Stegostoma tigrinum: one gene and its partners. The protein of the gene in region 1 purifies or fractionates together with the protein of each later gene. This does not show direct contact. Links are inferred from orthologs where the notes say so. Each region holds a gene or a part of one and is shown in the gene's direction. Other genes may lie near its edges.

Region 1 (7,619 bases):
GCTTATTGCCAGGATTAGCCAAATTATTGCAATAAACGGACCCATTTATAATGTTTGGCATTAGAGATGGCCCAAATAAATCACCTTAGTTTACTCCATTTGAGTTGACATTCAGACACAAAGTAAGACGGCCTTTAAAATTAATTAAGAAAAATAAATAAATTGTTATGTCTTACTTATAAAGTGGATATCAGGGATTTTCTTTCATTTTTAACCACACTTTTAACAAATTATAAAGGCGAGGCGAGCTTCTCTGGGTGTTTCAGAAGGGAACCCTCTAGTACGACTAGTATTTTGGTTTTATCCTATTAGACGGGTTTGACTTACCCCTTCTCTGGAACAAGTGCATCAACCACGCTGTCTGCTTCCATGTGTAAATTTTTATTCCTGGAACACGGGCTTTGCTGGCAGGGCAGTATTTTATCGTCAGTCCCCAGTTGCCCTCAGAAGATGGTGAGCTGCCTTCTTGAACTGCAGCAGTCTACCTGCTGTGGGTTAACCCACAATGCTCTTCAAAAGGGAATTCCAGGATTTTGACCCAACAACAGTGCAGGAATGGTGATATATTACCAAGTCAGGATGATGAGTGGTTTGGAGAGGAACTTGCAACTGGTGTTGCTCCCATGTATGTATTGCCCTTGTCCTTCTAGATGGAAATGGGTGTGGGTCTGTAAGATGCTTCTGAGGATCTTTGGTGAATTTCGGCAGTGCATCTTGTAGCTAGTACATACTGCTGCTACTGAGTGTCAGTGGTGGAGGGTGTGAATGTTTGTGCATTTGGTGCCAATCAAGTGGGCTGCTTTGTCCTGGTTGGTGCCAAGCTTCTACACTGTTGTTGCAGCAGGCAAGTGGAGAGTATTCCATCACACATCTGACTTAGAGTCATAGAGTCATAGGGATGTACAGCATGGAAACAGATCCTTTGGTCCGACTTGTCCATGCCAACCAGTTATTCTAAACAAATCTAGTCCCATTTGGCAACATTTGGCCCCTATCCCTCTAAACCCTTCCCATTCTTATGCCCATCCATATGCCTTTTAAATGTTGTAATTGTACCAGCCTCCACCACTTCCTCTGGCAGCTCCTTCCATACACATGCCACCCTCTGTTTGAAAACGTTGCCCCATAGGCCCTTCCCCTTTGACCTTAAACCTATGCCCTATAGTCCTGGACTGCCCAACCCCAGAGAAAAGACTTTGTCTATTCACTCTATCCAGTCCATCATGGTTTTATAAACCTCAGCCTCTGATGCTCCAGTGAAAATACCTCCAGCCTATTTAGCCTCTCCCTTTAGCTCAAACCTCCGACCCTGGCAATATCTTTGTAAATCTTTCCTGAACCCTTTCAGGTTTCACACCATCTTTCCTAAAGCAGGGAGACCAGAATCGCACTCGGTATTCCAAAACTAGCCTAACCAATGTCCTGTACATGATCTCCTAACTCCGGTACTCAATGCACTACCCAATAGTATACCAAATGCCTTCTTACTCACTGCAGTATTCCTAGCCTTTGACCTGCTCTCCTAGCCACTGTGTTTGTGCAATTAGTCCAGTTAAGTTTCTGGTCAATGATAATCCCCAGGATGTTGAAAGTGGCGGATTCAATTATGGTAACACCATTGAATGTTAAGTGGTGATGGTTAGATTGTCTCTTATTTGGTCATTGCCTGGCATCTGTGTGGCATTAGTGTTAATTGCCACTTGTCACCCCAAACCTGGATATTTTCCAGATCTTGCTGCATTTCATTATGGACTGCTTCAGCATCTGAGGAGTCGTGAATGATGCTGAACATTGTGCAATCCCTACATCTGACCTTATATTGGAGGGACAGTCATTGATGAAGCAGCTGAAGATGATTGGGCCTAGGGCACTACCCTGAGGAACTCCTAAAGAGATGTGCTGGAGTGGAAATGACTGACCTCCTACAACATCATCTGCCAGGTATGATTCCAACCAGCAGAGCCTTTGCATGGCCTCACACTCCCCGATACCCATTGATTCCAGTTTTTCTAAGACTCCTTGATGGCACACTTGGTTGAATGCAGTCTCGATGTCAAGGGCTCTCACTCCCACCTCACCACTGGAATTCATCTCTTTTGCCCATGTTTGAACTAAGGTTGTAATGAGGTCAGTGGCTGAGTGGCCCTGGCAGAACCCAAACTGGACATCACTGAGCAGGTTATTGCTGAGCAGGTGCTGCTTGACGATAGCACTGTTGATGACACCTTCCATCACTTTACTGATGATTGAGAATAGACTGAATAGTATTTGGTTGGGTTGGATTTGGCCAGCTTGTTGTGCAGAGGACACACCTTTGCAATTTTCCAAATTTGAGTAGAAGCCAGTGTTAGAACTGTACTGGAAGAGCTTGGCCAGAGGAGTGGCATTTTCTGGAGTACTTGTCTTCAGTATTATTGCTTGAGAGTTGTCAGGGCCCATAGGCTTTGCAGTACCCAGAGCCTCCAACCATTTCTAGATATTATGTGGAGTGAATCAAATTGGCTGAAGAATGGTATCTGAGATGCTGGAATCATAGGAGAAGGCCATGATGAATCATCCACACAACACTTCTGGCTGAAGATAGTTAAAATTGCGCAGACCATCATAGAAGCCAACCTTCCATCCATGGACTCTATTTACATGACTCATTGCCGTGGAAAGGCTGTCAACATCAAAGACCCATTGCACCCCGGTAATGACCTCTTACAACCTCTTCCGTCAGGCAGAAGATACAGAAGCTTGAACACATGCACCATTATTAGACTGATGAATAGATGCCTTAGGCTCAAATAATGCTGATCTTGCTAACACTGATCTCACTTAGTGTACAACCTGTGCGAGGTAACCTGTATGCCTCTGTCTTCAGCTGTATGTTTTGTACTAATGTGTTGGGTTCTTCAATAATTGAGAATGGGATATTTGATTGATTGATTGATTTATCATGTGTACCTGAGTACAGTGAAAAGCTTTGTTTACGAGTCATACAGGCTGATCATCGTAAGCAAGGATGCACAGATCAAAGATTGTAAAAACTTAGACAGACGACACTTTCCTATTTATATTCTAAAGATTTTTGGATTTTTAAAATGTTCATTTGTCAGTTTTGTCTTCATCCCCCTCTGGACTTCTCAACCTGACGGCATCTTACTCTCTGTGTTTTTTGTCTTTGCTTACCCCACCCATGTCTCTCCTAACAATGTACCTTGATTGCAACTGTTCCAGCTCTTCTTTAAAAATAAGACCATTGTTTTGTCTGCTACTGTTTAATGCCAATTTACCTGGGGCAGATCCGTTCTCACCATACAGAATTTGGCTCTATTCCAATTAAGCATTTAGACTCTAAATGACATATTGTTTCTTTCAGTTGCCAATTTAATCTTATGATACAATGATCACTGTTTCCTACACATTCCCTGACTGACACTTGATCCAACTCATTCCCTTAATCGAGGTTCCACAATGCCCTCTGAGCTCATTGGACCAGGAACATACAAATCAAGGAAATTTCCATTAATGCATTTCCAAAATGCTTCTCCATCTCTGCTCTTTATACTGTTAGTATACCTCAAAATGTAGCTGGATTATTAAAGCCCCTATTCTCAATATTCTTCAGTTTGTTTGTATCTCTGTGTGTAATTTAGCTGCAAATTTATTCCTCTGTAACTTCTGAACTCTAGAAAACACCCAGTATTACACCTTTATTGTTTCTTTGCTCTGAGTAGATTCAGAAGTTCTGAGGAAGGTTCACTCAATCTGAAATATTAAACTCTGATTTCTCTCTATGACTGTCCGCAGATGTTGCCAAACCTGCAGAGCTTTTCTATCAATTTCTGTTTTTGTTTCTAATTTACCGCATCTGCAGTTCATTTGGTTTTTGCTTAGTTCAATGCTATCTCTCTGAATCTTTTGCAGACCTTGTTTCTTCTTTCTAATGTTACATGCTATTTCCCAACCTTTGCCAATCAGCTAAGCATCCCATGAGGACATTGGTCCTAGCTTTGTTATGGTGCAACCTGTCAGCCTGTACAGGTCCCATCTTCCCATGAACGATCCCCAGAGATGTAGGAATCCCTCATTTCTGCACCATCTCTCCAACCACACATTTTTCTGTGCTTTTGCTTCTGTACCATCTAATTCTTGGCATTGGAGGTAGTCTGGAGACTAATTCTTTGAGGTCCTGAATGATAGTCTCCATGCCAGCCCACAAAGGTCTTCCTATAAGACCTCACCCCTCTTTCTACCTGTGCCCACTAATTTGGATCATGACCTCTGCTTGTTCACTTTTCCCCTTCCAAGTGCCCTGTAGCCACACAATATATCACGGCCTCTGGCATTGGGGAGACAACACACCTTTCTGGATTCATAACTGCAGAAACAGCTATTTCCTTTCATGTATATTCCGTCACTACTGCACTTGTCATGCCAAGGAACCATCTCTCTTCCATGAAAGAGCGAATTGTCTTCTATGCACTCAATAGCTGATTGTCTTCCGGTCACCCAATCCAGCTCTGCCTGCACACTCTCAGTGCCAGCTCTCGAATTCACGGAACAGACGGCAAGGGAGAGAGGACCAGTCGATACAGTGTGGAGCTGGAGGCACTCAGCAGGTCAAGCAGTTTCAGGGATCCTTCATCAGATCATGTGTGCAGTTCTTGCTATCTCCAAGGGAAGGAAGACATTGGGAGCGTGGTAGTGAATATATGCAGTATTTAGTGATGAAGTTTGGCCCTCAGCGCAACACCGTAATGATTTATCTTCACCTCAGTCTGTGCGGCTAGGAACGCGCTTTGCACGTCTGTGGTTGAAGCTGAACGCTGGATTTGCAACGTTGCGGTGCCGTGAGCGGCCAGGGCGGGGAGACACTGGGTGCTCCAGGTTTTGCTTCCCTGATTTTGGGCTGTTCCTCCGGCAAGGCTGTGCTCGGCTCCACTCCCACAAACAGGAACAGGTGGCGGCAGGAAGAGGCGCCGTGTACAACCCGAGCGGGGCCGCTCGCACCACCATGAAACAGAGCATTTCATCGCACGGGGCGGAATAAAGGAAAGATACAACCTTGCAGCCGGCAGCGGTGAGAGAGGAAAGGAAACAGATTAACCGCCAACCCTTTCTTTATTTTGGGTTGAGCCGACGAGACCCTTGTGCAACAGAAGCTGCGCGCTGTTGTTACCGAGACGAGTGATGAAAGTGACCGTCTGCTTCGCGAGGACCAGGGTGGTTGTTCCTTGTGGAAATGGGGCCATCACGGTGCACAGCCTGATCCAGCAGGCGGTGACCAGGTACCGCCGTGCCATCGCCAAGGTGAGTGAGGGCAAAATAAGGGGAGCGGAGTGGCGGCGGACACAATGTATCCAGAGACCAGCCAGGAGCAACATGGCGCTTCCTGATATTCACATTGGATACAAGCTTTCACCTCCCTCTGTGCTTAACGAAGGGAGGGTGAGTGCAGAAAGAGGAGAGGAAACGAAAACAAAATACAAAAGCCGCGACCATAAAGTTAAAGCTTTTCGCACGGCCTCCTCCCCTCCCTTTTCTCCACAAGTTTTGAAATCTTTTTTTTCTTATTATTAAAAAAGTTTTTCGTAACTTTATCCCCCGGCAGATTTGGGTGTATTTTTCTCCTGTCTGTAAATTTATTTTCTTTCCCCTCCCTCGGCGGGGGAGAAAAATACAAACTGGTGTGAGGTGAAATGGAGCGGCCTCGGACTGTGAGAAGAAGGTGACTCAACTCCAGCTCGAGGCTTTCCCAAACACGGAGGCCTCGGACTCCTTTCCTGGGAAGTATTTGACAAGAATTTGGGTTTCATGTTTTCGAACGATCGATTAAATTCCGTAGACGAGTCGCTGATTACTGATGATACCGAAATACGAATAGGAACAGAAGCGTTATTTCCCCCTCTCTCATTTCCAGTCAGTCTTGTCAGTGAGATGATTGCATGAGTAGGATCGGAATTCATTGGCTAATAACGCTGTTTTCGCATCAAGCAACAAAAGAAACGAATTTCTGCTTGAGATGGACACATTGCTCCCCTCTAACTGGTGTCTAATTTAAAGTCATCTCATTGTAGTAAATTAGATTCGTAACTTTAAAATTAACTCTAAACGTTTTCAGACTAGTCTGTTGGGTAATTAAAACAGGGTTTACTTTCTCAGAAAAGTGTTAAAAATAAGAGTTGGAAAGTTTGGCCAATTAGCCAAAGTAGGTAAATGGAAAATATAACTAAACTACATGGACCTTTAATACTGATCAATTGTTGAAGTTAATGTACTGTTAGTGTGAACTATGATTAAAAAGTGCGTTTTTTTTTATTCTTTGCATAGTTAGCACAAGCAAATGAAAGTGTAATTTTCACAAACCTGTCAATTATTTTGAAGAGCTGTGAACAGTTGTGACCTTGAAATTCCTGCCACGTGCATCTTTTAACTCTTGACCAAAAGCATATACATATAAATCTATTTGGTTGAGTTGAATTGTATTCCAACTCTAGTTAAACTGAAAGTGGAGGTTTGTGTTGAATCGGATAATTGGTCGCACAAACTGTATTGCCTACTTTGTGCATGGACTAACTTTTTAATCAATAGTTGAGATGTACCGGAAATGTAAGGTTAGGTATTAGTGGTAGCCTGCTGTAAATGTATTACTTCACAGTGCCACAAAACTACTGGCTAAATATTTAACGTTGTATCAGAGATAATGGGAACTGCAGATGCTGGAGAATTCAAGATAACAAAATGTGGAGCTGGATGAACACAGCAGGCCAAGCAGCATCTCAGGAGATGCTGCTTGGCCTGCTGTGTTCATCCAGCTCCACACTTTGTTATCTTAAATATTTAATGTTCCTTGATTATAATTATTGTGATTTTCTGTATGTTCCTGTGTAGTTAGAATTTGCAAATGTGTATTTACTGTGCAAGAAATATTCGAATAATTGGCTAAATAGTTTGCTTGAGGTATATTTTTGGATTGATTTTTGAAAAAATGTGATGACATATCCTTTGTGTTATAATCCTTGCCACCCAAGCAGTAAGTTTTGTAATGAGTGGACAATTTTTGATGACTTCCCATAAACTTAATTTTAAATGTTATTCATTCACCTTGGTTGCATGTTTAATGTCTAGTTTTCAATTGACCTTGCACTGGATAAAGCCTTAACAAATTCCTGTGGGGGAAAAAAAAATTCTCATCTAAAGCAAGTCATTCATCACCGGAAAAATTGTTGGTTGCTATTTAGGTTAAAGAAAAAGTTTTAATACTGATACAGGTGGGAATGCAGGATTTGATCTGTAAATGCATTAAGAATGAAAACAAGGTATTCATGAATTGAGCGGAATAATGGATCTCATATTTATATGCAGACAGCACTTGAACAGGTCATTGAGGATGTCACAAAACACTTGATGCATGTTGAATTACTTCTCAACTGCAGTCATTCTTAATTTGCAGAGGGGAGTGACAGTTTCTTTGCAGACAGCACAATCTCGAACAGTAATGAGATGAATGTTCAGTTGTTTTGTTTTGAATGATCTTTACTGAAGAAAAGCTGTTGAACAGTTGAGGAAACCTTGCTGTTCTTGTTTGAATACACAGTCTTAATACTTGGTTTTTTGTGCCACGTGAAGAT
Region 2 (7,683 bases), on another chromosome or scaffold:
ACTCAAGAATTAAATAACTAAAATAGAGATGCACGGCCAGGCTATGTGTTATACCTGCATTATGTGGGACGGTGTGGACCTCATTATGGTTCGTAGTGACCACATGCGTAGCAAGTGTTGATTGCTTCAGGAACTCCAGTGCAGATCTGATGAGCTGGAGTCTGAGGTTTGAAGACTGCATCACATCAGGGAGGGTGAAAAGTTGCCTGGATGCTCTGTTTCAGGAGCAGTCACACCCCTCAAATTTGGTCAGTGGTCAAGGACAAGAGGGTGTGACTATGAGTGAGGCAAGTAGAGGAATGTGCAGAGGGTAGTGCTGAAGGGGATTTAACCGAGACCTTGTCTGACATGTTTGACATTTTTACTTCCTGTATGGATGAGAAAGGGAGGATGAACAAACTGACCATAGTACCATTGAACAGAGAGACATTCAAGAGGAGAGAAAAAAAGAGAAAAGTAATTGTAATCAGGGATAGTATAGTTAGGAGAATAGACACTGTTCTCTATGGCCAGGATCCAGGGACCTGAAGGTTGAGTTGCCTGCCAGGTTCCCAGGTTCAGGATATCTCAGCTGAGCTGCAAAGAGGCTTGGAGTGGTAGTGGAATGATCCAGTTGGCACGGTCCACATAGGTACCAATGTTAATTGGTAGAAAGAGGGCATAGAGCAGCTCGGGGACAAATTAAAACTCAGAACCAAAAAGATGATAATCTCCAGATTACTACATGAGCCACAGGCTAACTGATACAGGTGCAACAAGATTAAAGAGGTAAACGTGTGGTTCAAAGACTGGTATCGGAGAAATGGGTTCAAATTTATTGAACATTGGCACCAGTCCTGGGCAATGAGGGAACTGTTCAGATGGGACAGGCTCCACCTGAATCATGCTGGGCACAGTCTTGGTGAATCACATAACTATGACTTTAAACTAAATAGCAATGGGGGGGAAGGGGTTCAATTGCAATTATGTAGAAAATTATGGAAAAAGTTTAAGGCTGAGGGTAGGACTCAGCAGAGGTTATTAAAGTTTCCAGAATAAATAATAAGACAAAGAGGATGGAAAGTGTCAGGAATCCAACTTCAGGTATAGCAGATATGGGGACAACTATGAGAAGTGGCAGCGATGGAGTGGAATTAACACAGGACTGAGGGTGTTGTACGAAAATGCATGCAGCATATGAAACAAGGTAAATAAGCTTTTGCACAGTTTGAAATTGACAGGTACAATGTTGTGGGGATCACAGAGATGTGGCTGCAAGAGGAACAGGGCTAGGAACTAAATATTCAAAGATACATGTCCTATGGAAAGAACAGGCAGATGGGCACAGGGGGCTGAGCAGTCTTGTTAGTAATAAATGAAATTAAATCAATAGCAAGAAGTGATATAGAGCAAGACATGTAATCTGTATTGAGGAATGGCAAAGGAGAAAATCACATGACTCCAGCAGTAGTCGGGATTTGGGGAAGAAAATAAATCAGCAGATAGAAAGGACACATTAGGAAAGGCACTTTTACAAAAATGATGGGTACTCCAAAATGCACGTAGACTGGGAAAAGCAGGTTGGTAGCAGATCCCAAGGAAAGGAATTTGTAGAATGTCTACAATATGGTCCTTTGATGCAGCTTGTAGCAGACCCCAGTAGGGAACAGGCAACTATAGATTTGGTGATGTATAATGAGGCACACTTGATTAGGCAGCTAAAGGTGAAGAAACCCCATGAGGCAGTGATCGTAATACGATAGAATTCACTCTGCAGTTTGAGGGAGAGAAACTGGAATCAGATGTAATGGTATTATAATCGAGTAAAGATAACAACAAAGACATGCTCCGGAAGCTGGCCAGAGTTAGTTGGAAGGGGAGCCCAGGAGAGCAGGCAGTGGGGCAGCAACAGCAGGAGTTTTTAGGGGTGATGTGGGAGTCACAGCAGAAATTCATCCTAAGGAAGAAGAAACAAGGCAACTGTGGCTGACAAGGGATGTCACAGACAGCATAAAAGCAAAAACAAAATGATGTGGTGAAGATTAGTGAGCAGCCAGAGGGTTGGGAAACCTTTTAAAACCAGCAATAACTAAAAGCACAATAAGAGGGGAGAAGATGAAATATGAGGCCAAGCTAGTTAGTAACAAATTAAGACTACAAAAGTATTTTCAGATATGTAAGAGGTAAAAGAGTGGCACGAATGTGTAATGATTGCAATGAGGTCAGCCAGGTGGACTTCAAAGAATATGAGTTCCCTGATTGGGGCTGATAATCTGGTTCAAGCAGGGATCCCTTGCTGACAGGTAAAAACAGAAGTGTCAGATATCCCAACACTCTGGGAGTTGACTCTTTTGAGGCTGTACCACCGTCAAGGACTTTCCATGTGTAAATAATGGGTGACTTTGTGATGGGATATCTGCCTGTCTGTAGTTATTTCAGAGTGGACTCAAGAGAATCAGGGGGCAGAGGTAAGCATCATTAAAGAGAAGGTGCTGGGGAAGCTAAAAGGTCTGAAAGTGGATAAATCATCCAGACCAGATGGACTACACCCCAGGGTTCTGAAGAGGATAGCTGAGGAGATTGTGGAGGCATTAGTGCTGATCTTCCAGCCATCAGTGGAGTCAGGGAGCACCCACGGGACTGGGAAAAGACTAATGTAATACCTCTGTTTAAGAAGGCAGGGAGACAGAAGACAAGAAAACATAGGCTAGTTAAGTCCAATTATTAAGGATGAGTTTGCAGAGTACATGAAAGTGCATGGTAGAATAGGGCTGTGTCAGGACAGCTTTGTCAAGGGCAGGTCATGCCAGACAAATCTGTTAGAATTCTGTGAGGAGTAACAAGCAAGTTAGACGAAGGAGAGTCAGCAGATTATGTATTTGGATTTCCAGGAGGTCTATGACAGTGTGCTGCACAGGTTGCTGTTAAATGAGTCCTGACAGAGGCAAGGTACTGGCATAGACAAACAATTGGCTGACTTATAGAAGGCAGAGAGTGGAGATAAAAGCATCGTTTTCATTATTGGTTGGGGATCCAACTCTCATTTTTGTGATAGTTTGATTCCTGTGGTACTGTATCAATTACAGATTCATATAGAAAATGGTCTGTTATCCCAACTCTCTATTTCCTGTTGAATTACCAATCCTCAATCCATGTTAATATATTATCCCAACACCTCAAGCTGTTATCTTGTGCAATAACATCTTTAGGTGGCACCTTTCTGAGCACCTTTTGGTTCAAGTTCACTACATCTGCTAGAGATAATGGGAACTGCAGATGCTGGAGAATTCCAAGATAATAAAATGTAAGGCTGGATGAACACAGCAGGCCAAGCAGCATCTCAGGAGCACAAAAGCTGACGTTTCGGGCCTAGACCCTTCATCAGAGGACCCTCTGATGAAGGGTCTAGGCCCGAAACGTCAGCTTTTGTGCTCCTGAGATGCTGCTTGGCCTGCTCTGATGAAGGGTCTAGGCCCGAAACGTCAGCTTTTGTGCTCCTGAGATGCTGCTTGGCCTGCTGTGTTCATCCAGCCTCACATTTTATTATCACTACATCTGCTAGTTCTCTTTTATTTATCCTGTTTATCACATTCTGAAATCATCAAATAAAATGTCAAAAATCATTTCCCTATAATAAAATTATGCTCACTCAGATCGATAGTGCTATAGCTTTCTAAAGGTCCTACTTCTATTTGCTTGGATTTATACTTTCCCAATCTCAATTTCTGATGGGATCAACGTTAATTACACTCTTCCGTTGTAGAACTCTAGCTGTTTTTATATCTCGACAGTCACTATTTTTTTTCCCTCTCCAAGAGCTTAAGTCAATGTGCGATGGCGACGGAGTAGGGAAGAACATTCGGGAAGGAAAATTGAGTTTTAACAGTTGAGAACGACTAGGGTCTGGAAAGGACCAACAAAACGGGGGAAAAATTCTGAAAACTTTAAAATCGTTAGTGAAACTGATTTTAATTAGCTTCGGCCGCAAGCATTTGATCGAAGAATGAAAATCAAATAATACAAAGCATAAAATCCACAACATTAACTAAAGGTCCTTTAAATAGCATCTGAAAAGAGAATATTCATTTCTAAGGTGATGATGCGGACTAAGTCTTTCATTTTAGGCTTTCTTACATTTATCAGTAAAGTTAGGATAATTATGCCGAACAGATAGCAGAAGTTTCAAACTTGTTCACTGAACTTTGAAAAACTTTTGCTTCAGCTGTTACTCTTGGGATGTCATCCCAGACACCTACTTGATACCTGCTTCCTCAAGGCATGTCTGACACCTGGACGCGCGATGGTGTCAACCACCGCCGGGGGCGCGCGCTTTTAAAAATGCACGAAGGCCGGGCGGACAAGGGAACTAAAGAGTAGGAGCTGCAGCTGCTGAAGAATCTGAGATAACAAGGTGTAAGAGCTGGATGAACACAGCAAGTCAAGCAACATCAAAGGGGCAGGAAAGCTGATGTTTCGGGCCCAGATCCTTCTTCAGACAATAGAATGAACGGGTGTCCGCTCGAAATAATGCAGCGGGTTGAGTGCGCGTACACACACAGGTGAAACCGAGGCTGGGTTTCCGGGGCGAGTGACGTCATCTGGTAACGAAGTCGGAGTTTGCCGGTCGTTAGGAGGGGGCGCGAGGCTGAGCTGCGGGTGGGTGGAGGAGGAACTGGGCACGCGCAGCCGCTACTAACCGGCTGGAGGCGGCGGAACCAGTGTTCGAACGAGTTTGGCGAGGGTCTGAGATTAGTCCCGGATCTTTTACGTACTTTACCCCCACCATCTCCCTCATTGCACTCGGGCCGATTCAAATTGCTGCCCTTGGAAGATCGGGCGAGCAGTTGGCACGAAAACGGCCAACAAACGTTCTTCCGAAAATGATCAAGACTCATCACCGGACGGCGTCCAGAAGCCTGGAGACCGTGGAGGTGAAGAGTAAGGTGTGTGTGTATAAGGAGGCGCAATGTCCGAGGAAAGGCGGAGGGAACTTCGTGCTTTGCCAGTCAGTAGTTGTAGGGAAATTAATACCACGGCCCCGGCTAATGTTGGCATAGGATCTGTCAGCAGGCTGCTGAGGTCAAGGTTCAATCTGACGGTCAGATACAGGCCTGTTCCAAAAGGAGATTTTAGAGCAATATTTTATGTTCTTTTCTACGGTTTGTTTATTGGGAGTTGGAACAGGTGACAGTACAGTTCAAGGAAGTAATAAAGGCGTCGAGATCTTTCAGAGAACAGCCGGCGGCGGTAACAAGTTTTTGTGCAGTTCATTGCGTGTTATTTTAATGCTTCTTGCTTTTGTAAGAAATTTCGTAGTAAAGAGGCTTGTAAATGCCAACACAAAGCAATTAGCGATGTAGCTAAAATTCGTGTTCCCATAAGGATTTGTCTGGAAGCTGGTTAAAATGGAAAGGGAATTTGACGATCCTATGTAAGTTGATCGGTTTCAGCCCAAAAAGAAAGCAATCTGCACTAGATGCACACAGGCTTATAAAAATTTTCTTGTTGTTTGTCAGATCTTACTAACTTGTGTTTTATTTCAATGTGAATTAATGTATTTAAAATAAACAGAATTAAGTGTATTAAGTTGTCAGAATGAAAATTTTTGACTGGTTTTTTGACAGAAACCTACTTTGTGTGCAAACAATTTGGCTATTTTATTGTAATATTAGCAATCATTGCCTGTCTGAATAGACTTAACTACATCCAAAACTCTCTCATCGCATAAATGGCTTGATCACAACTTCCTTAATTAGACCATGTTTCCTATGTACTTAAATGTTTATCTACTGATGCCCAGAGTGGATGGGCTCCCAATTTATCCCAATCACAAAACAACTTGAATGTGTAAGAAATCCATATGTTTCTGTTGAAGTGGAAGGTAGTAAATATACTAATGTTATATTTGCTTCAAATTGAATGTATTGGTAATTTATTAAGCAACTTGACAAAAGTGATCAATGTTTTAGGGTTAGGATCCTTCTTCAGTCCTGACTATATTGACTCTGCCTCCAGCATCTGCCTCAGCCACCAGTTCTTGCTATCTCTGAAGAACAATGAAGATTTCTAGCATTGTAAAATTGTCTGATGTAGAAAATTTAATGATTAAATGTCAGATAGCTGGTCCAAGAGTTAGTTGAAGAAAGGAAGTGGTGTAATAATGACCATGAGCTTCTGTTATTTGTTGGAGAAACCAATCTGGTTCGCTAATGTCCTGTAAGGAAAGAAATTGCCATCCTTCCCTGATTTGATCTAAATGTGACTCCAGACCCTCAACAACATAGTTGATGGTTAACTACCAACTGGATGATTAGTGATGGGCAGTAAATGCTAGCCTACCCAGTGACATACGTATCCCAAAATGAATTTTTTTTAAAAAAAGAAAATATTAAAGTGATAACGTCTTGTATATTCTCAGTTAAGTGATCTGATTCAGGGTGTTACTTTTAGTTTATTTTATTGGCTTCTGTTCTGTTCATAATATTTTGGATGCATTGAATTCGTTGCCTTTTCCAACTCCCCTAGTTTTAAAATACATGATATCCTTTTCAGACTTCAAACATCTAGGATATTGTCATGTCTATAGGTGAACTGGAGTATTTGCTCTTTTAAAACCTTTGTAGAAACAAACCACGATCACTTCATCAACCTCTGGATTCAATGCATCATTCTCCGCCTGTTCCACCATCTACAATCTGACCCACTGCCAAGGATATATTTCCCTCCCCAGCCTTATCTGCCTTCTGGAGGGACTGCTCCGTGTGACTCCCTTGTCCGCTCCACACTCCCCACTAGCCCCACCAGCCCTAACATTTTTCCCTGCAACCGCAAGACTTGCCACACCTGCCCCTACACCTATCCCTACACCTACCCCCTCACCTCCATCCCAGGCCCCAAGAAAATCTTCCACATCAAACAGATGTTCACTTGCACATCTGCTAATGTGGCATATTGTACCCGTTGTTCCCAAAGTGGCCTCCTCTGCATTGGGGAAACTAAGCAGAGGCTTGGACACTGCTTTTGTGGAGCACCTATGCTCAGTTTGTGACAAACAACAACACCTCCCAGCCACGAACCACTTCAGCTCCCCTCCCACTCCTTGGACGACATGCCCATCCTGGGCCTCCTCCATGATGCCACTCGAAGGCTGGAGAAAAAGCACCTCCTATTCCGCTTGGGAACTCTGCAGCCTAATGGTCTCAATGTGGTCTTCACAAGCTTCAAAAGCTCCCCAACCCTGACCTCATCCCAAGACCTGGTTCATCCCCGCCTCCTCGACCTGTCAGCTTTCTCTCCCACCTACTCGCCCCTCCCTCCCTTCCTCCCTCCCTCACTGACCAACCCCCATCCCAACTCCCTACCTACACTCACCCTTACTGGCGTCATTCCTGCCTCCTTGACCTGTCCATCTTCTCTTCACCTATCTGCTCCTCTATCCACCTTCTATCATTGACTCCCCTCTCTCTATTTATTTCAGAGCGCCTTCTCCTCTCCCATTTCTGAAAAAGGGTTCAGACCTGAAAGGTCAGCTTTTCTGCTCCTCTGATGCTGCCTGGCCTAGTGTGCTCATCCAGCTCTACAGCTTGTTATCTCAGATTCTCCAGCATCGACAGTTCCTACTATCTCTAAACAAATAAAATGTTAATTTTGATAGACTGTAGAATTATGGTCTGTAACAGTTGCATTCTAAGTTCCAGATTGGAT
Region 3 (7,216 bases), on another chromosome or scaffold:
AAGGATGAACAAGGCAAGGGAGTACACACTGAATAGCAGGACTCCAGGAAGTACAAAGAATCAGAGGGACCTTGGTGTGCAGGTCAATAGATCCTTGAAGGCACCAGGACAGCTAGTTAAGATGGTTAAGGAGGCATGTGGGATATTTGCCTCTGTTAACCAAGGCACTGAATACAAGAGCAAAGAAGTTATGATGGGGCTGCATATAACACTAGTTAGACCACAGCTGGATTATTGCATGCAGTTCTGCTCATCACAGTACAGAAGAATGTGATTATACTAGACTGGATGCAGAAGAGATTCAACAAGGATATTACCTGGGCTGGAATGACTCAGTTGTGGAAATAGACTAGAGACGCTGGAATTATTTTTCTTAGAGTAGCGAAGGCTGAGTGAGGAGTTCTGACTGAGATGTACAAAATTCTAAGGGCAAATACAGGGAGTATGAGGAGAAATATTTCCTGTTTATGGAGGGTTCAATAACCAGGAAGCACAGTTTTAATGTAAGGAACAGGAGGTTCAGAAGAAATCTGAGGAAGGTGTTTTTCTCCAGTGTTGCCTGTATTTGTAATTCATTGCCTCAAAGGGTATTAAAGGTCGGAACATTCAGGGAATTTAATAACTATTTCGATGGACACCAAATTGCCATAGCATACAAGGTTACAGGCTAACTGCTGCAAAACGGTACAAGTAGTTGGTTGATGACCAATCCAGACACACTCAGCCAAAGGGCCTCTTTCCACACTGTAAGAATTTTATGACAGGGCTAAGGGTTTGCTTTCTTTCAGAGGCTTGTGTGACTTTTGAATTTTCTCCCATAGGAGGCAGAGGAAGTGGAGAAATTGATTTTTTTTTAAGGCAGAGGTGGTTTGATTCTTGTTAGGCAAGGGAATCAAAGCTTGTTGGGTAGTTGGGAGTATGGAATTTGAAACATAAACAGATCAGGTTTGAACTTATTGAATGGAACAGCATTTGTGAGGTGGAATGGTCCACTTCTGCTCTTATTTCATACTTATCCTGTGTCCAAATTTGAAATAAAATCTCTTCATCCATGACTCTATAGAACATAGAACAGTACAGCACAGAACAGGCCCTTCAGCCCACGATGTTGTGCCGACCATTGATCCTCATGTATGCACCCTCAAATTTCTGTGACCATATGCATGTCCAGCAGTCTCTTAAATGTCCCCAATGACCTTGCTTCCACAACTGCTACTGGGAACGCATTCCATGCTCTTACAACTGTCTGTATAAAGAACCCGCCTCTGACATCCCCTCTACATTTTCCACAAACCAGCTTAAAACTATGACCCCTCGTGTTAGCCGTTTCTGCCCTGGGAAATAGTCTGGCTATCAACTCTGTCTATGCCTCTCATTATCTTGTATACCTCAATTAGGTCCCCTCTCCTCCTCCTTTTCTCCAATGAAAAAAGTTCGAGCTCAGTCAACCTCTCTTCATAAGATAAGCCTTCCAGTCAAGGCAGCATCCTGGTAAACCTCCTCTGAACCCTCTCCAAAGCATCCACATCTTTCCTATAATAGGGCGACCAGAACTGGACGCAGTATTCCAAGTGCAGTCTAACCAAAGTTTTATAGAGCTGCAACAAGATCTCACGACTCTTAAACTCAATCCCCCTGTTAATGCCTCTCCCCTCGTCGGCCTGTCAACGTACTGAGTTAGGAAACACTCCTGAACACACCTTACAAAAACAGCTCCATTCAAATCTTCTGCTGGAAGGAGGTTCCAATCAATATTAGGAAAGTTAAAGTCACCCATTACAACAACCCTATTACATCCACACTTTTCCAAAGTATGACTCTATGATCCTTGTTCTCAGAGACCTATATTGGTTCTGGGATCAGCAATGTCTCAGTTTTAAATTTTACTATTCATTCAGTTTCTTCCAAGATCTTGCCAATTTTTAAAAATATATATTCAGGGACGTGGGTAGGACTAGCCAGCTATTAGTTAGTGGGCATTTATTGTTCATCCTTAATTTCTCAGTAACATTTCAACCACATTGCTGCTGCTGGCCTGGAGTCACATGCAGGCCAGACCAGCAAAGGCAAGCGGGTTTCATTCCCTACAAAACATTAGTGAACCAGGTGGGGTTTTCCTGACAATCAGCCATAGTTTCATAGTCAAAATCAGACTCTTATTTCCAGATTATTATTGAATGCAAATTTCATGTTTGCCATGGTAGGATTCAAACCCAGGACGTGAGAACACTACCTGGGTCTCTGGATTAATAGGCGAGCACTAATACCACTCAACTATTACCTACCCCATAGTTCTATGGTCTATAACCTCTTTCAATCACATTACTGTCTGAGAACCCTACGCTTCTCCAATTCCAATCAATACAGTGTGGAACTAGAGGAACACAGCAGGTCAAGCAGCATCAGAGGAGCAGGAAAGTCGACTTTTTGGGTTTACATCCTCGTGGACCAGGCCTAATGAAGAGTGTAAACCCAAAACATCAACTTTCCTGCTCCTCGGATGCTGCCTGACATGCTGTGCTCTTCCAGCTCCACACTGTATTGACTCTGACTCTACCATCTGCAGTTCTTGCTACCTCCTAGTCGCTTCTCCACTTCTGACTGCTTTCTCATCTCCAGTTTTAATTGTTTCACCATTGGCAGTTGCACTTTTAGCTATCCTGTCTCTAAACTCTGGAGATCCCTCCCTACAGCACACTGCCTCTCTACCTCTTTTCAGATGTGTCTTAAAAGCTATCTCAATGAACAGTATAGTTCATTGTCAGTCCTTGTTTAATAACACATCTGTGGAGTGCCTTAGGATGTTTTAACTACTTTAAAGAGCTATATAAATACTAGTTGTTGTAACTTTTACTTTCCTGTTGATTATAAAACAAGATGAAACTGGAGGAGGAAAACAAGATTTGGGGAGATTTTGTTTCACGCTGTACACGATTAGAATTTCGAACTCACTGTCGGGGAGGATGATTGAAATAGAAACCCTTATGGGTTTAAAAAACTTTTTGGAGTACTTGAAGTGCTGTAATCTACAAGACTACAGCCTAAGAGCCGGAAAATTGGACTAGGCTGTATCGCTGGATCAGCTGCCATGACGCTGCCGTGAATTTACAAGTTTTAATTCGGCAAAGAGGCGTTGAAAAGAATACTGATGTTTAGGCAATCTGTAGGTCACCTTCTGGTAGGCGATACATAATTCGCCTTACTGAATGTAAAAACAAATAATGAGCGGAACACACCTACAATGAGTAATCGACACCTTTGTCTACACCAAACAGGTCTTTTTTTTCCTCTCTCAGTCCGACTAATACGTTTATTTCCGGCTTTGTTCGAATAAAGTTTCACTGTATTCGTTACTTTTGTTGTTGAACTTGATAGGAAAATCTAAAGAGGTAAAACATGAACAATTTAATAATAATAACTTGCATTTATAAAACATCTCTATGTCGCAAAAATGTCCTAAGAAGCCCCAAATCATGTCAAAGTGAATCTACATTTGAAAATAGAACTGACTTGTCGATATGCAGAAGGATATTTAGAAAGTAGGAACTGACTTCTGCAAACAAAAATTGATTAAAATACAAGTGGATGTGCCAACAAGTGAAAGTTTCGGTTCTACACCCTATCTCATAGAAACCTGACAAGGCAGGTGAATCACCAAATTCTAAGGGTCACCGGACCCGAAACGTTTCTCTTCACGGATGATGCCAGACCTACTAACCCTTTCCAGCAACTTCTGTTTTTGTTTCTGATTTACAGGATCCACAGTTGTTTCGGTTTTGAATAACCAAATCGCTCCAAATATATTGGACTACAAATCCCAGAGTTCCCCGTTACGGTTGCCCCTTACGACGGGGGCGGGTCCGGAGACCAATCCAAAGTGAAAATGCAGGGTAGATGATAAGGAAATCATACAACCTAAAATAATTAACACCGAAATGCAAAAATTTAGATGAAAATTGACAGAAATTTTATAACATTTATAATATTAATGCTGCCAAAGAGATGGTTGTGAAGAGCGCCTTGCGTATTGGGTCATGTAATCCTTTCGCCCCCGCCGACCTTTCCTGTATGGTGTGGCGGTCGGTGGTGCGCGCGCAGCGGGTGTCTGTTGGTTGGGCCGGACGAGCTCGAGCGAACGGCCGGTGGGGCGCGGGGAGGATTTGAGGTGAACGGCCGGACAGTCATATGAGAGCGGCTATTCTGCGGAGCTCCGACAGGGACATGCCCACAAGTAGGGACAGTATGATGTCCTACACAGCAGAGAATCACCACCAGGTCCGGATGAAAGCCTATTACAAAGGGTAAGGGCGAGAAACGCGGCCGGGCAGAGACCCCCCCCCCCCCACCCCCGCCCGCCAAACCTCGGGTAGGGATTTCTCCTCCTCCTCCCCTCGCGGACAGGAGACTTTGTCTTTTGGTTGGGTCGGGGTGTGGGAGAAAGAGGCTGTTGGTGGTGGAGAGTTGGGGTGTTGCCTGGGAGGTGAAGGGGATAGGATCTGAGAGTGGGAATAGCGTTTGGGATGCTGGTGCATAGGGCCAAGTAAGAGAGGGAGAAGCTGAGAATTTGGGTGGGAGGTGAAGGGGAGCTGGGAAGTTGTGGGTGGGCGAGGCGATCTGGCGCGTTGTTTGAGGGAAGGTGGATTGGGTAAATTTAGTGGGAAATTGAAAATGGGGGAATTGTAAGATTGAGGAGGGGAAGGGGAGCTATAGGATCCAGGAGGATGAAGGGTCCTTTTTTTTGTCAGGGGGAGAGTGGAATCTCTGAAACGTAGATGCAGGACTATGGCCAGTGGAGGGTAGAGGGATTATTGGAAGGAGAACCATTGTGGATCATAGTAAAGGGGCATAAAGATCCAAAAAGAGAAAGAAATCTGACTGTTTGAAAGTCTTCACATTCGCTCACCAACTTCTATTTGCCGAAAGTGCCATGCAAAGATGAAATGCCTTTTTTGGGCTAGTCGTTGTATATTACAGGAAATGTGGCAGCATTGTGGTTTAATCGAGTCATAGAGGTGTACAGCACAGAAACAGACCTTTCAATACAACTTGTGAATGTCGACCAGATATCCTAAATTAACTTAGTCCCATTTGCCAGCAGCACATATCCTTCAAAACCTTTCCTATTCATTAACCCAGCTAGGTACTTTTTAAGTGTTGTAATTGTACCAGCCTCCTCCACTAATTCTGGCAGCTCATTCCATACACACACTACCCGCTGTGTGAAAAAGTTGTCCCTTGGACCCTTTTTAAATCTTTTATCTCGCTCCTTAAACCTATGCAGCCTAGTTTTGGATTCCCCAGGCTAGGATAGAAGACCTTGACCATTTACCTTCACTATTTTATAAATCCCTAAGGTCACCCCTCAGACCTGACACTCCAGAGAGAATAGCCTGGCCTATTCAGCCTCTCCCTGTAGCTCAAGCTTTCCATCCCTGGCAACATCCTTATAAATCTCTCCTGAGCCCTTTCAAGTTTAATGACATCTTTTATATAACAGGGAGACCAGAATTGAATGTAGTATAACAAAAGCGAGTTAACCAATGTCCTGTACAGTCGCAACGTGACACCCCAACTCCTATACTCAATACACTGATTAATAAAGGCAAGTGTACCAAATGTCGCCTTCGCTATCCTATCTACCTGTGACTCCACCTCCAAGGAATAATGAATGTGTGCGCCAAGGTCTCTTTGTTGGGCATCACGTTCCAGGACTTTCCCATTAGGCGTATAATTCCTGTCCTAATTTGCCCTACTAAAATGTTACACCTCACATTTATCTAGATAAAACTCCATTTGCCACTCTTTGGCTCACTGGCCCATCTGATCAAGGTCCTGTTGTACTCTGAGGTAACCTTCAAGTGTTACCAACAAAATGAGATTTAATGAGTGTAGCTTTAAACTTATGCTGTAATTTTCAGTTGTTTATATAGCACCTCATGTCACGACATCTTGTGTTGCTGCAGAGGTGAGACTTAAAAGGAATTGAATACTGGGTCAAAGGAAGTGATATTCTGACTATAGAGTATCTTGTGATATTGTCCAGATTTTACTTACAGATGAATTGAAAGCTGCGTACTTTGTCAAGAATCAAAATCACATTAATTATAACTAGAGCTATTTTGGCATTGCCAAACATAGTTAGAAGTTTTTGATTCACAAATTTTAAAGTAACTGAATTGCATATATATGGTAAAGTGAACCAAAGTGCATTGATTTTAAGGGTGAGGGACAGGATGTTCAGAGGGTCTTTAAGGAGTACTTGTGTCACCCAGAGGGTTTGGGTGTTTTGAAATCAGTGCCTGAAAAGCTGGTAGAGGAAGGAATCATTACAATAATTAAGCATTATTTCAATGAACATTTGAAATAACACAATATACAAGCTTACAGGCCAAGTGTTGGGAAATGAGATTAGAGTTGATATCCATCCTGGTCATCAGGTAGCGATAGTGGGTCACAGGATGTTTCCCTGTGCCTCATACTCTGACTTGATGACTTCACACCATCGATGGAAAAAAAAAATCCATCTCTTCAAATGCTGACTTTGTTTCTTATGTCCCCTCAAACTTGGGTTTTGTCTACAGGCAGAATTTTCAGTTGTCTGAATACTGAAATACTGAGGGTAGTGCTGCAAAACAATTTGCGTGATAAATTAAGAGCATTGAAAAATCATTGCTCAGCATAAAAGTGATTTTTTTTGTGGTGAAGCACTTTTTACTGTTGTAGTGCAATACATACGTGAGCTGAAAACAGACAGCACACTATGTCCACAAATCAGTAGAGCCAGTGATATCCATCAAATATTCATCTACTTTGTATTTGTTCCAGGAGAAGTATCTGATAGGATGTTGAATGCTTTGTGCTAATTATTACAAAACATTAATAACAAGAAAGGAATTTGAATCTTCAGTCTTTGCTGACTTGCATGATCTATTCCGTTTGAGATTTGCTTGTTTTAAAGAGCTCCTGTATTAAAGAAGGGATCGTCAGTCAGAATTCTTGCTGGGTATTGCTGTTTAGTGATTACAAGTGTGCATATTGGATTTAGGTGAGGACAAGATCAGACTTGTGATGGTATGAAAGGCTGGCAGTTCTCTGCTTGCACATGACTGCTTTGTTGAATTACTAGAGTCTGACTGGAAAAATAAGTAAAAGTATGTTTTTGAAACTGGGTTGCAAATCTAATATTTCCTAAACCCAAGTACAAATTGTGCAACTG
Region 4 (7,693 bases), on another chromosome or scaffold:
AGAATTAGCCCTGTCCTCCAGAATGAGTTGCATTGTTAAATCGAAGTCAGCACATTTACTGACAGCTTGTGATTTTGTAGGAATGGGCGCAGTGCCTGTTAAATATTTAGTTTTCATTATATCTAAAACGTCCTCTTAATCTTACATTGCATTTGTTTCATGTCTGTGATGCTGTTTAATATAAGAAATTACATATATATACTGAAATAAACCTTGCTTCTGTGAATGTGCTGACTGCTTGTCAGAAAATATCCATGGCTATGTTATTATGTTGGGTTCAGTGATTTCTATAAATCCATAAGCTTTCATTGTTGGCACTGTGAGACAAAGGAGCCTTGGGGTTGGCGATAGTGGATGAGAGAGTGCAAATATAGCAGTTATGTTATCAGACCGTAATTCACAGGGCTTTGGGCTCGGAAGTTTTGAGTAAATCTCAACACAGTATTGGAGGAATGCATTTTCAATCGAGTTATCTTTTCAGACTGGATTAAAAATCTTGCCACAATAATGGTGACCAAGAAACTATAGAACAATAGTACAGCATCCATCTCATTCACAGATTTCCTTTAGTGTAGGATAGAAATGTGATATCAAGAAGCATTCAAGAGCATATTGAATGATTATTCAGACAAAAATAATATGTAAGGGTATGGGGGGGGGTGGATTTAAAGCAGGAGATTAGGAGATTGGCATGAGGAAATGAAGCTGGTTTGAAGAGTTGATGCAAGCAGAATGGGCCAAATGGTGTCTGTCTGCATTGTAACACTTTTCAGTGACCCTTACCCAGTCTGGCCTGTACATAATTCCAGACCCATAATAATGTGGTTGGCTTTTAAACTGCCCTCCCCTTTAAAATAGCCTGGCAAGCCAAAGTTAGATTCATCATCATCTGACAATAAGGCGGTGAATGCTGGTCCCATCAGTGACATCTGTTTCCGTGAATGAGTTGGTGGGGGGGCATGGTGTGCTTGGACACACCATGCCCCCCCAGAGTCAGAGGGTGCAGTGAAGACCAAAGCTCCCAATTCGTAATTGTATTAACATACAGTAAAAAGTAAAATAAAGTTGCTGCGCTCCCAATGGGCCCTGGAGCTGCAGCTTCATTAGAAAGAGATTGTGGTGGTTTAACCTGAGAATCACCACTCCTCAGGAAAGGGGTGAGGTTGAGAAGGAAGGCCCTTCATGTTAAAGGTAAAGTCGCTATAGTCCCAGGGGGCGTTAGGGCTGCTGTCTCATTGGACATGGAGTGAGAGACAACTGGCAGTAAGTTTAACCTAAAGGCCACCTTAGGCTAAGGTTAACCTTAAGCTCAGCTGATGTGAACAAGATAGGATGCTCATTGCAAACTTTTTGATAACCTCAGCCTGAGCGGGAATTAGGCCCATGTTATTGGTGTTACTCTGCATTGCGAATCAGCTGTCCGACAACTGAGCTAAATAACCCTTTAACATCCATTGGATATGAGGACATCTTCTCTGATTGTAAACATTGTGAGGGCTCACAAAAGTTTAAAGACTGGTATAAGGATGGCGTGGCCTGGAAAGATGGATTACACTGGTCCTGCGAATCATCTGCAAATCCTTCCAATGCTCCATGTGTGTCTCCCGAGGAAGCGTGCGGAGAAGTGAATAAACACCAACCAAGGATGCAAAGAGTCGCAAATGTTTGGGACTGGTACAAGGAATAAGGTTAAAGGTCACGTGGTTTCTTTCATGTGATAGGTGCGCAAAAACAGAGACTGGTGGCTTTGATTACCCGTCCCATTGTTGCTGTGTTGTTGCTTGGACGGCGTTTATGTTCTGTGCTTCATTCCTTCCTGTGGGAGTATGGGAGTGATAGTTCATTAAGTAGTGAGCTGATTCCTGTTCGCTTTCACAATGGAGGGAGTTGAGTGAGTGAAAAGTTGTACCTTGCAGGGGTTTTCTTGCTGTTTCATAAGGTTGCCACTCACACATTACTGTACCACGGCTTGACAGAATCCCAGATTCCAGAGTGTATAAAAAACAGCTCATCTCCAGCTTTGTGCTGACATCTGTATGTGACCTTCCTGTAGCTGGTTCCCATCGTACAGATCTCCGCTCCGTGGTTTCTGTACCTCATAATCTAAATTATATCCAGTTACAACGTTCTAGGAAAAGCCTTTTAGTACTTTTCCATTGGCCTTGCTTTGTGAACGTTGAAACTCTGTTGTCTGCATCACCTTGCTTGTGTAAAGACTCTGGCAACCTCCTGGTCATGTGCTAGTTGTGTATTTGCACCTTGCCTGCTTATGGCCAGGGGAAGCCCAAGTACAAATTGATCATTATAGATCATTGTCTCAGAGATAATGGGAACTGCGGATGCTGGAGAATTCCAAGATAATAAAATGTGAGGCTGGATGAACACAGCAGGCCAAGCAGCATCTCAGGAGCACAAAAGCTGACGTTTCGGGCCTAGACCCTTCATCAGAGAGGGGGATGGGGAGAGGGTTCTGGAATAAATAGGGAGAGAGGGGGAGGCGGACCGAAGATGGAGAGTAAAGAAGATAGGTGGAGAGAGTGTAGGTGGGGAGGTAGGGAGGGGATAGGTCAGTCCAGGGAAGACGGACAGGTCAAGGAGGTGGGATGAGGTTAGTAGGTAGCTGGGGGTGCGGCTTGGGGTGGGAGGAAGGGATGGGTGAGAGGAAGAGCCGGTTAGGGAGGCAGAGACAGGTTGGACTGATTTTGGGATGCAGTGGGTGGGGGGGAAGAGCTGGGCTGGTTGTGTGGTGCAGTGGGGGGAGGGGACGAACTAGGCTGGTTTAGGGATGCAGTAGGGGAAGGGGAGATTTTGAAACTGGTGAAGTCCACATTGATACCATATGGCTGCAGGGTTCCCAGGCGGAATATGAGTTGCTGTTCCTGCAACCTTCAGGTGGCATCTTTGTGGCAGTGCAGGAGGCCCATGATGGACACGTCATCTAGAGAATGGGAGGGGGAGTGGAAATGGTTTGCAACTGGGAGGTGCAGTTGTTTGTTGCGAACTGAGCGGAGGTGTTCTGCAAAGCGGTCCCCAAGCCTCTGCTTGGTTTCCCCAATGTAGGACCGCTTTGCAGAACACCTCCGCTCAGTTCGCAACAAACAACTGCACCTCCCAGTTGCAAACCATTTCCACTCCCCCTCCCATTCTCTAGATGACATGTCCATCATGGGCCTCCTGCACTGCCACAAAGATGCCACCTGAAGGTTGCAGGAACAGCAACTCATATTCCGCCTGGGAACCCTGCAGCCATATGGTATCAATGTGGACTTCACCAGTTTCAAAATCTCCCCTTCCCCTACTGCATCCCTAAACCAGCCCAGTTCGTCCCCTCCCCCCACTGCACCACACAACCAGCCCAGCTCTTCCCCCCCACCCACTGCATCCCAAAATCAGTCCAACCTGTCTCTGCCTCCCTAACCGGCTCTTCCTCTCACCCATCCCTTCCTCCCACCCCAAGCCGCACCCCCAGCTACCTACTAACCTCATCCCACCTCCTTGACCTGTCCGTCTTCCCTGGACTGACCTATCCCCTCCCTACCTCCCCACCTATACTCTCTCCACCTATCTTCTTTACTCTCCATCTTCGGTCCGCCTCCCCCTCTCTCCCTATTTATTCCAGTTCCCTCTCCCCATCCCCCTCTCTGATGAAGGGTCTAGGCCCGAAACGTCAGCTTTTGTGCTCCTGAGATGCTGCTTGGCCTGCTGTGTTCATCCAGCCTCACATTTTATTATCATAGATCATTGTCTAACGGCTTTGTTTCTCAGAACGACAATTCAGCAATCCTTTGTTATTCTCCCATACATTACACTGCTGTTGGTTTGCAAATGCTATTTCCAGGCAATCAATGTGAGGGAAGAATTTGTGATTTACTGTTTGATGAACATGTCAATGGAAAAACTTGTTGGAATTGTGTCCAAAGATGCTTGGCAGAAATTTGAGCAAAAAAATGTTGTTTTGTATCCCAAGCTAACTCGAATGGTGTTTCCTCCCTTCCTTCTCTCTCTCCCCCGTGCCGCCCTCCCAACCACTTACGTCCTGCAGTGGCTTGTTTGTTTGTGTGCGTTCTCCTATATTCCTGACTGACTACCCCATTTGTACTCAGAGTAACAGATATGGCTAACAATTCAGCAGAGAGTGAGAGGGAGAGAAACTTCTCAATTTAAGAAATCCACATGCCAGACTTTGATTCCCAAGAACATCGCTGAACAAGTTGTCCCCCTGGGGTGTGGGGATGGTGGGGGAGGGAGTGCAGTTGTGACTTTGAAGCCATTCCTTTAGACTCCTGTCAATCAGCAGAGTCCAGGCATTTGAAGCTCAAGAAGCAAACTCTGACCCAGCTCCCACTACAACTAGACTCTGTAGACCTCTCACCGGTGTTTGACTGCAGAAGGGAGATGTAATTCAAAACCCATGATGACCGAAGAGGGTTAACAATGCATTATGTCGACATTTTACTGCTGTAATAGTACTCTGGCATTCTGCACAAACTTCAGGGAGGAAGTTAGTGCAACATGACACCAAAATACATACCACCGTAGCAACCCAGGCAGCAGAGAGAGCCAATATAAGGGCCATGTCAGTTTATTGTATAATGAATCGTGTCAGGACAGGACATGTTGAACACATTTGGAGAGGAGACAAACACAGAAAGACAAACTTTAACCTTCAGAGTGCAATTCATTTCAAAACAGTTTCCAGGATTTGCTGAAGGACTGCTGAAGATGAATGTTAACTCATGGCCTGCTGAGTGAAGTGGAGTCACTCTGAATCCACCGGTTAGTGCTGTGGGACAGATGGTGTGTGTGTGTGTGTGTGTGTGTGTGTGTGTGTGTGTGTGTGTGTGTGTGTGTGTGTGTATGTGTGTGTGTGTGTGTGTGTGTGTGTGTGTGTGTGTGTGTGTCATTCACTCCCAATTAGAGAAAATTTCCTTGTGGAGCCGGTGAGGGACATTAGAGAGCCAATGCTGTTTGTGTCAGTGTTTTGTGGACTGCAACATTCCCTTCTCCATGAGACACTTCCTGCCACCGTTTTGAGTCAGCACAGAGTTATTTTGTGGCAGGAATGGTTTCTCAACCAGAATTACCCAGAGCACTGAAGGCCGTTTGAATGGCCATGCTGAATAGATGTTTCCTTGGGAACTGAGGGCAAGCGAGTTCCTTTGAAATATAGGAGCAGGAGCTGGCCATTTGGCCCTTCAAGCCTGCTCTGTCATTCAATATGATCATAACTGGTCATCCCAGTCAGCCCCCTCTTCCCACTTTCTCCCTGTACGCTTTGATCTCTTTAGCCCTAAGAACTATATCTAACTCTTCTTGAAAACATTCAATGTTTTGGCCTCTGTCACCTTTTGTGAAAGAGAATTCCACAAGACTCTGGGTGAAGAAGTTTCTCCTCATCTCAATCCTAAACTGATTACCCTGTATTCTTAGACTGTGACTCCTGGTTCTGGTCTGCCCAGTCATTAGGAGCATCATTCCCAATTTACACTGTCTAGTCCTGTTAGAATATAATCCTGACTGATCCAGTCTCTCTTTATACTTCAGTCCTGCCAACCCAGGAATCAGTCTGGTAGACCTTTGCTGCACTCCTTCCATAGCCAGGACATCCTTCCTCAGATTAAGGAGACCAAAACTACACACAATACTCCAGCTGTGGTCTCACCAAGAACCTGTACAGTTGCAACAAGACTTCCCTGCTCCTGAGCTCGAATCCTCTCATTACAAAGGCTAACGTTCCATTGTCTTCCCCACTGCCTGCTGCACCTGTATGCATATTTTCAGTGACAAGTGTACTCTCTTTCCCAATTTATCACCATTCAGATAATAACCTACCTTTCTATTTTTGTTACTAAAGTAAAGTAACCTCACGTTTATCTACAGTATGCATCACCTGCCTTGCATTTTCCTGCTCGTCCAACCTTAGCCAAATAACACTGAAACTTGTCTGCATCCTGTCCCACCCAGCTTTGTGAGTGAGATGGTTGAGATTGAGAACTGTGACTGTCTCTATAGGCCAGAGTGTTGGTAACTAGAGGGCACAGGCTTAGGATAAATAGATAAAATTGACATAAGAAGCAGAGGGAAATTGAAAGTTTTTTTGTACATGGACATAGTTGTGGAAAGGAATGTACAGCTTCGAAAGGGCAGTGAAAGCAGATGCGGCCATTCAAAATGAAATTGATTCAGATTAAAAGAGGGAACGTTTTTGAGAGCTGAGGGGAAGGTGCAAGGCAATGGACTAATTGAATAGTTCCTTCAAAGAGTCAGCACAAGCACAGAACGCCTTTCGTTGAGGATGGAATTGAAATATTTCATATTGCTAACAGGAAGAAAGGGTCAAAGCTCAAAGTCTGGGCTGAATGGCCTCCTGTCCTCCAATAATTCCATAAATTGGGCTAGCAAGGAAATGCAGTTTCTGAATTTATCAATGTCCTTTCTTCCAATATCAGAGATGCTCTGTAATATCTTGTATGTCAGCTGTAGCTTGGGGGTACCACTCTTGTCTCATTTCAAAGACTGCGGGTCTGAACACAAAAATTTAGGCAGCTGCTTCAATGTAGTATGAACAAGAGTTCAACTGTTGAAGACGCTATTTCTCAGATGAGATGTAGGGGCAAGGCCCGGTCTGTCTCTTTCTTGAGCACATGTGAAAGACTCTGTGACACCACATTTAAAAATGGCAGGACAAAATGGCAAGCCCGCATATACAGCTATGTCCTAATAAGCTGTTTATTTAGTGATGGAAGGTTGAAAATTGGTCTGGTTGTTGTTAGAACTCACTGCCCTTCTTCAAATCAATGCAAAGGCTCTTTCACATCCCCTTAAAAATTGTAGTTGGGACAGCACGGTAGTTCAATGGTTAGTACTGCTGCCTCACAATGCCATGGACCTGGGCTCGATTCCACCCTCGGGTGACTGCCTGTGTGGAGATTGCACATTCTTCCCGAATCTGTGTGGTTTTCCTATGGGTGCTCCAGTTTCCTACCACAGTCCAAAGATTTGTAGGTTAGGTGGATTGGCCATGGGAAATGCATGTTTATAGGGTAGCATGGTGAGTCTAGTTGGGATGCTTTTCAAAGGTTTATTCTAAATTCAGGCTGAATGGCCTGCTTCCACGCTGTAGGGATTCAATGTACACTACAAGGCCAAGCCAGTGCCTGTGACAGAGCAGCACCCACTCAGCAGTATCCTTGAATGCCAGTCAATGGTGTGCTCTGGGACTTGATTTTGACTCAACTTTGCTGCTACTGAGACATGTTCTTAACATCATTGAGTTGTTGTTGAGATATGCTTGAGTCTACATTTGTAAATCCAATCTGCTTAGGGGAATAAAAAGTCTACAAAACAAACTTGTCATATTTGTCTAATGTCAATACTGGTTGCCATTCTAATCCATCGATGACTAAAGACTTGGGATATGTGTATCTTCAAGATGTGTTGTGCTTTGGAGATTTGTAAGACATTAGCACAGTATAAATTCACTCACCCACTCATCAAGTCAGATGTTAAAACCTAAACAAGTGAGGGATGGTTGAAAGTGCTCAATAAACATGTTTTGGGAATGGAGAGCGTTGGCTTTTGATGTAGGTGTAAGGGAAAGCCAGGAACAGCGTATGGTTTGTGGTGACAGGCAGCCCAATCCAGCTGTGAGCTTTCTCTGTAATTACCACTATTTGGGTTTTCCTTAAAGTCA

The links.
Region 2: the proteins of partitioning defective 3 homolog (region 1) and pard6b purify together in Homo sapiens (affinity purification with mass spectrometry; 5 studies listed by BioGRID and IntAct, counting the BioPlex papers as one, with this or other methods). This does not show direct contact. The link is inferred for Stegostoma tigrinum from reciprocal best matches to the Homo sapiens genes PARD3 and PARD6B.
Region 3: the proteins of partitioning defective 3 homolog (region 1) and prkci purify together in Homo sapiens (affinity purification with western blotting; 5 studies listed by BioGRID and IntAct, with this or other methods). This does not show direct contact. The link is inferred for Stegostoma tigrinum from reciprocal best matches to the Homo sapiens genes PARD3 and PRKCI.
Region 4: the proteins of partitioning defective 3 homolog (region 1) and rassf8b purify together in Homo sapiens (affinity purification with mass spectrometry; 4 studies listed by BioGRID and IntAct, counting the BioPlex papers as one, with this or other methods). This does not show direct contact. The link is inferred for Stegostoma tigrinum from reciprocal best matches to the Homo sapiens genes PARD3 and RASSF8.

Annotation. Positions count from the first base shown.
Region 1 is NC_081355.1:130,248,393-130,256,011, reverse strand, and holds the start of partitioning defective 3 homolog, read left to right. Parts: upstream 1-4,560; 5' UTR 4,561-5,178; coding exon 5,179-5,298; intron 5,299-7,619. UniProt on the Homo sapiens protein: Adapter protein involved in asymmetrical cell division and cell polarization processes. Seems to play a central role in the formation of epithelial tight junctions. Targets the phosphatase PTEN to cell junctions.
Region 2 is NC_081372.1:40,635,012-40,642,694, forward strand, and holds the start of pard6b (partitioning defective 6 homolog beta), read left to right. Parts: upstream 1-4,672; 5' UTR 4,673-4,859; coding exon 4,860-4,922; intron 4,923-7,683. UniProt on the Homo sapiens protein: Adapter protein involved in asymmetrical cell division and cell polarization processes. Probably involved in formation of epithelial tight junctions.
Region 3 is NC_081367.1:60,928,071-60,935,286, forward strand, and holds the start of prkci (protein kinase C iota type), read left to right. Parts: upstream 1-4,111; 5' UTR 4,112-4,185; coding exon 4,186-4,301; intron 4,302-7,216.
Region 4 is NC_081378.1:48,632,336-48,640,028, forward strand, and holds the start of rassf8b (ras association domain-containing protein 8b), read left to right. Parts: upstream 1-4,583; 5' UTR 4,584-4,776; intron 4,777-7,693.